2 linked regions of the Drosophila melanogaster genome follow. The protein of the gene in region 1 interacts with the protein of each later gene in a pairwise test. Each region holds a gene or a part of one and is shown on either strand. Other genes may lie near its edges.

Region 1 (3,759 bases):
AGGGCCGATCAAAGCCTCTTTCGTTCTCATTCCGAATTCAATCGAAAATGTCAGCGGACAAGGTGCGTGGGGCAGCTGGGGGAAGCTGTGGATTTTGGGGCGCGTAAAATGTAAAATATTCCAACAAAGTACTCCTTATGTCATATGACAGACGACAAACTTTGGCAATAAATCAAACAACAGGCGACGAGCGCTGTTTGTAGGCGGTACAGCTTCAGCTGAATGCGGTTCAGCTCAGCTCAGTTCAGTTCACTTCGGTTTTAGCCTTCTGTGCGGGCATACAAAAGTGGGCGGTTGAGGAGGGGGTGGGGCGTGGCAAGAGAGGCACACGTGGAATACAGAAGCAGTGAAATGCCAAGATGCCACCGCTGTATAGACTTAATACACTTTCGGCACACACAAATTCACTTCCTTAATTGAAATTTTAATTTGAATACTTTGGCAAAGTTTTGGCCGACAGCCAGCTAGCGAGTGAGACAGCTCAGGCAGCAATAACAAACAGCCAAAAAGTCGCCGAAATCCAAATTCCCCGCCACCCATTTCAGGACCAATACCCCCCACCCAGCCCCTTACACAATTTCGCCCCGCGGATCCTTTGCGCTGGCAATCTCGCACAGGCTCAGCGAGTTTTCAATTTACGCGCCTCGCGAGTCGTTTGTCATTTTATGCGTCCTAATATATGGCATGTGCGTGCCGCTACAAGGATACCAGCAGCAGTATCCTTCGCCACCGCCTGGTATCCCCCCATGCTCAATTTTGAGGGGATACCAACCAGCAAGGCGTAACTAATCAGCACAGGCAATGATATGGCGACATCTGATGAATTGTTCGCACAGCCGAAGATTTCAATTGGGGGTGTTGGCATATACATATGTATATATATCTAAATGAATGTGCACGCAGAGAAAATTAATGTATCACTTACTATCACGATCGAAAAGCACTCCATTAAGTCCAAATCTGATGCCAAAATTAAATAAGGTCAGTTACTTTAAAATGAAAAAAAAACCCCCAACGTTATCTTTCAGCCGACGGGGAAGAGAAAAAAAAAAACCCGGCCCTTGAATTCGTATCATTAAATTACTACTTCTCATTATTGCCTGATATTCACAGTTGGCTCTCGGGAGCCATTTATAACGATTGCGATTATTCCGATAGGGAAAATGAAATATTGAAAACAGATAGGACGGCCAGTCAGTATCCGCGTGGAAATTATAGTGTGTTTCACTTTGCGCTATAGATAGATATAGATAGACTCTCCCACTTGCATGGCCAACGCCATCAAAGAGTTTTCATTGTGGCCCCGGGGATTCCCAGACGAGTGCAATTACTTTTGTTAATTGTAATACACACAACCCCAACCAACCAACCAACGCAGAGACACCCGTTTATTTGTCTAATGTGCGAGAGTGTAAAGCTTCTGGCTCGATAATGTTTACCTGGGTGAATACCCCACCACCACCTGGAGCTGGAGCTGGTGCTGGGGGGGGGGGGGTTATAAAAGAAGGCCTGTGATTTTGCGTGTGATTTTTGCCCCCCCTCGAAATTTTTTACTGGGAGAGCGTGCCAAGGCGTAGTTAGTGAGCGGCACTTAATACCCTGATAAGATGTGCGATTAGCGGGCAGCCAGTCGAATGGTAAGTTATGAGCACAATGGTCAGCGCTTCCAGCTGCCAAAAGTCGAATGCGCAATGCTCTAACCGGGGATTTTCGATCGGTGATAATTCAATTGATTTTTATCGCATATTAATTGTATACCCGATTTATTTGGGGGATTTTTGTAGGACTTAATGCATTTTCTAAACAAACATCTCGTATTAATGAGTACAGATATATACGAAACATTTTTCGCTGTGTGTTTATCTGATTTGCACACCTGGGTCGTTAAAATATATTTATTAGCATTGTATATCCACCTGCTTGGGCCCATCAAATTGACGACCCCATGCACACGAAAATAATTGTTAAACGTATTTATTTTTCATTTAACCTGCGGATTTAAGAACTTCCAAGTGGTGGACCTCTCGAAGAAAGAAGAGCAACTCAAGATTACAAGACCTAATCAACGGTCCCCTTGTTGCCAACGAACATAGAAAACTGCCTCTAAGACTTCGGACTTCATTTCAGTTAGCGTCAAAGACATTGGCAAACAACATGGGCGACAAGGTGTCTGGATCCGTCTCCACTTCTGGCCCAACTTCCTTGGCAATCCTCATGGACTCGGAGCAATTGGAGCAGCAACAGCTGGCCACAAGTTGTGGTAAGTAGCGCCGCAACTATTTTGCTGCTGAAAACAATTCAACAATTTCCAAGAGCGTTTGAGAGAAATTTCCCCTTTTTGAAGTGTAATAAATATTCCAATGCTGGGCGAAGGGGGGGGGGCGGTGTGGTCTGCGTGTTTACCTTGCCACAAGTATAAACAGCAAATAAAATAAGACAAGTAGAGGTTGGAGGAGAAAATGAGTCCGGTGATTTGGACTTCCTTTGGACGAGGCGCCAGAACGCATCTGGCGGTTATCCCCCGAAATTTTCGACTCGAAAAACCTGTGTGCACACAAAGAAAAAAAAACTAATTCAGATTAAGAGCGAGATGAAGATGAAGATGGAATGTGCTTGTTCGCCATAAATCGACGACGGAAAATAAAACGCTGTTAATTTGTCTAGCCATCCGATCTCGGCACTCCGACTAAAGCAATTTAATACCAGCCGCATTTGCAGCGGGATTCCCCCAAAAAAATCAAAGCGATCCCACCAAGGGGCATCCCCGATTCGAAAATACAACAAAAACAAAAATTAAATCACACGAATACATATTATAAAAGAGTATGTCCGGTGCCGGTGGTCAAAGAAAGCAAATGACACAGAGAACGACGGGGGCAGTGATGCTGTCACAGCAACCAGCCATAAAAAATCACGGTTTTGAGTTTTGGAATCGTAAACAACTGAAATCGTGCGAAAAGAATATCAGCTTTTATAGGAATATAATTTAAATAAGATATCATGTATCCTTACGTGTAAAACAAAGTAAACCCAAACTATTGAAACGATTCAAGTTGGTTCTTATAAAGGATTCAGACTAAAAGAATAATCTTTCCACTATGAACATAAAAAATGAGAATACATTTCAAAAATGAATTCAATTAAAAATCTGTATCTAAGTTAATATAAAGATTTCATTGAAATGGTTAATTTACATTTTTAAATAAGGAATTTCGTACGAAGAAATGTCACATCTGCGAGCTGTCAACCTTTGTTTTAACTCTAGTCTGTGACTATGTATTTAGATGGCATCAGCCGAATTTCCTGACTGCAAAAAATATTCAACAATTCAACTGTCACCTCCAGCTATGGAAATTGTTCGTTCATTTATCAAAACACAAGAAGTAAAACCGCAGATGTGAGCTCAAAAACGCAATATTACCATTTAAAAAAGAGATGGTTAAAGCAACGGATGACTCATAGATTTCATTTTGGGCGAATAACAGTGACATTAATAAATCGCCACAGGGAGATTCAAAAATAACGTAAACTTAGCCATTGGCAAATGCTAAGTTCAGTTCGCAGCTGTCTGATTATTTGCACAACCAAAGTCTTGAGAATTGGTTAAAAAAAAAAAAGTTCCCCATAGCTGATTTATGCCCTCGATAGAGGGTTCTTATCAGCAGCGACCTTCGAGAATGACCGATATTGAACTAGTTGAATGAGTGTCATTCTGATCCGTATGATCAGCGATCCGTATCACGGTAATCTAATCGTCAC
Region 2 (3,362 bases), on another chromosome or scaffold:
AACTTTAATTTGGATATTAATCAGGGTCAGACGGTTGCACTGGTGGGTGCGTCGGGATCGGGAAAATCCACATGCGTTCAGCTATTGATGCGGTACTATGATCCCGATGAGGGCAAGATTGTAAGTAGTTTTAAAAAGAAGTTATATCAAATTAGGCATTATATTTGATATTAACTTTTCTTTCCTTTTCAGCTCATAGATCAAGAGAGCATTCACCACGACATGGACCTAAAAACTCTGCGTCGTCGCCTGGGCATTGTGTCCCAGGAACCTTCACTTTTCGAGAAGTCTATCGCCGATAATATTGGCTATGGAGATACCTCGCGACAGGTGCCCATGCAGCAAATAATTGAGGCGGCCAAAATGGCCAATGCTCATGAGTTCATTATGTCTCTGCCTGCTCAGTATGATACGGTTTTGGGTTCCAAGGGCACCCAATTATCCGGTGGGCAAAAGCAAAGAATTGCAATTGCTCGAGCGATGGTAAGGAATCCCAAGATCCTTCTGCTGGATGAAGCCACCTCTGCGCTGGACTTCCAAAGTGAAAGGGTAAGAAACTATAACTTAAATTACTACAATTTTCATCAAATATTTGTATCCCCTTTTCAGGTGGTTCAACAAGCTTTGGACTCGGCATGTTCAGGACGAACATGTATTGTAATCGCCCATCGCCTGTCCACCATCCAAAATGCCAATGTGATTTGTGTAATTCAAGCCGGAAAGATAGTGGAGCAGGGATCTCACTCCCAACTTCTGGCCAAGAATGGCATTTATTCCAAGCTCTATCGCTGTCAGACGAAAGCCTCTTGAAAAGACTACGGAAAGACCAAAAGAAATCATTAAAATTAAGTTGGAAAACATTTTTCTAGTACCACAATGAGGCACGAAAGTATGCAGTGAATTTTTCTTAGCTGTTAGTTGGGACAAAAACCAATCTAATTTGGCCATAAGCAAAATAGTTGTTAAATAAATGAACATATAGATAAAGAATTATCTTAAACTTTTTCACTTTAGCAGGATGGCAAAACAAAAGTTTGAGGTGTGGGATCAATCTATATCACAAATTATTGTGACATGTATCGGTACCTTAATTCAATTTACGGTGCTTGTGTTTTATCTTATCTTTTAATATGGCAAAATTCGTTCATCGTTGTTTAAATTTGTGATAAGATAGGATAGTAAGCCTAACCGTTTATTTTTATTCACGCCGATCTTAATTAGTTGCCGCATTGCTATTTTTCATTTCATAGCGAAAGGTATTAGTTTTCCAGAATGAACGCAGTTGGCATTTTCATAATATGTCTGGGTGAGATTTTTTAAGTTATAGTAAGTAGTGACTTTGTAAAGATGTCCTTTCTAAAAACAGCATGTTCCCTTGGAGCGAATATTCCTCCAAAACCGTGCCAAGTGGAAACAAATTGTGGTACGGTGAATGAGACAAGTTCCATTTGCGGATTGGATGAGGAAATGGGTTGTATACGAAAATTTCCATCCAAGTGTCATTTGGATATAGCATTTTGCCATGAAGGAAAAAGTAAGTCCGATTATTAAACTTTAATCTCGCATATTATTAAATTATTTCATTTCAGATTTCACCGACTTTAATGAGGAATATTGCTCAATGGAATCGTATCTCTGTGAGATTTCACCCACATACGAACGCTGGACCATTTTCTTCGGGCATGAGAATTAATTCTAATTGAAAGTGCGAAAATTTGCTGCATTACGCTTATATAACAGAATTTATCTGTTTTCAAATTAAATTTTTTTCTCATTTCTAGAGTATTTTTACATAATATGAAATTAGTCCCGCATGATTGAAATGTTTTGGTTTAATTTCAACAACCAGAAAAGGGGAAAGAAAACAGCGTATAAATAAGAGAATTTGTGGGTATAAATATCAGTATACATTCTTCAAGACAGAGGAAGCCCTCTCTACGAACTCAGGACGCTCTTCTTTGGCCACCAGAAAGAGTGAGTGAAGACTTGGCTAATCGCCGACGACATACGTGTAAGTTCATTAGGTAGCATTTCAATAAACAATCAATCAACGCGCAACGGGCCATTCACGTGCCAGGCGACGTTGACTACGTCAAAGACCGGTAGGAGGTAACCGATGCCCAGCAGCGTTTTTTCCCACTCAGTGAGACAGAACGACGCCTCGAGCCTTTTATACGAATCTTAATTCGGATTTTTTGTGATCTTTTTTTATATTTGAGTTTTTTTTCTTTGCGTTATTTTTGGGTCTTCGACGGGTGCTTTGCATAATCTCTCGCCGCGGCGCCAATGCCCATTGGCCTCCTCCTTCAACGCCAATCAGTGAAGAGCTCCAGACTGGCACACTTGCACATATAAAAAGTGGACCCAACCGAATTTTGCTTGTCAGTTAATGCCCATCAATCGAATCAATCCCAGCACAGCCATGAGAAGCGCGTCGCTTAAGTTCTATCTGATATGTCTGCTAGTTATCTGCGGTTAGTGTTATTAACTAAAAATGTTATGCATCAAATGCAATTACCTGTGTCCGAATTTTTGCAGTGATCGGTTGGAGTGCTGGAGCACCGAGTCCGCAACTTTCACGTAAGGAACTCGAGGATCGATATCGACAAAAGCCCCCGGTGCCTGATGAGCGAGATGCGGATGCAGAATTGGATAGTGCCTACGATCGGAATACCCGAAGACCTTGAAGTGCAAATCTGAAAGGCTGGAGACACCCAACGCCCACAATTGATTTGTGGTTCTGTGTGGAGTGCCACTTTTTATGTCGTATTCAGGGTTATGGCTATGTAGTTCTAAGCTTAGGCAAAATGTACAAGCGTAAAATAAAGCAATTACTTGGGTGAAACGTGCGCATCGTTACTTTCCATTCTATCACGTAGAATGTGGGGCGACATCCGACGTCGGCTGGCGTCTATAAAATATGAACTCTCTGGCATTCGATTCAGTCAGTTATCAATCTCCGGCTAGTGCGAAAAGTACAATCAAAATGACCTCAGAAAGCAAGATGGTTTTGCTCTTCCTTATCGGATGTCTCGTCATGCAGACAAGTGAGTCACTGGATCATCTGGTATCATGACATTATTTTAAACCTAACTGCATTTTCTTTCAAGTCAACGCCCTGCCATTCGATAGATTCAGCCAGGAGGATGACGAACGGAACAACGAGATCAGCGGCGAATGGTTCAAGAAACCCATCCTCAGGTTCGATCGTCTTTTTGCCACCGAAGAATCACCGTCGGGAAGTCGGAAAGAAGTGAGAAGGCCCAGCAGAAGCGACAAGGGTGAAACCACGGAGAGCTCCAAGCACGCCCACTCCATGATCACCTCCATGCTCGGATTCGTGAGCAGTGTCATCAACTTTG

What was found.
Region 2: the proteins of PGRP-LB (region 1) and BG642312 interact in a two-hybrid assay, tested with the Drosophila melanogaster proteins (one large-scale study listed by BioGRID).

Annotation. Positions count from the first base shown.
Region 1 is NT_033777.3:11,458,948-11,462,706, reverse strand, and holds the start of PGRP-LB (peptidoglycan recognition protein LB), read left to right. Parts: upstream 1-2,154; coding exon 2,155-2,260; intron 2,261-3,759. UniProt on the Drosophila melanogaster protein: N-acetylmuramyl-L-alanine amidase involved in innate immunity by degrading bacterial peptidoglycans (PGN). Probably plays a scavenger role by digesting biologically active PGN into biologically inactive fragments. Has no direct bacteriolytic activity.
Region 2 is NT_037436.4:6,231,949-6,235,310, reverse strand, and holds BG642312 (BG642312), read left to right. Parts: upstream 1-1,929; 5' UTR 1,930-1,974; exon of another isoform or gene 1,975-2,011; intron 2,012-2,320; 5' UTR 2,321-2,389; coding exon 2,390-2,474; intron 2,475-2,538; coding exon 2,539-2,687; 3' UTR 2,688-2,842; downstream 2,843-3,362. Other genes in the region: CG10226 (uncharacterized protein), read left to right, coding at 1-120, 193-549, 610-810; CG42714 (uncharacterized protein), read left to right, coding at 1,273-1,306, 1,367-1,534, 1,590-1,693; CG13299 (uncharacterized protein), read left to right, coding at 2,987-3,047, 3,111-3,362.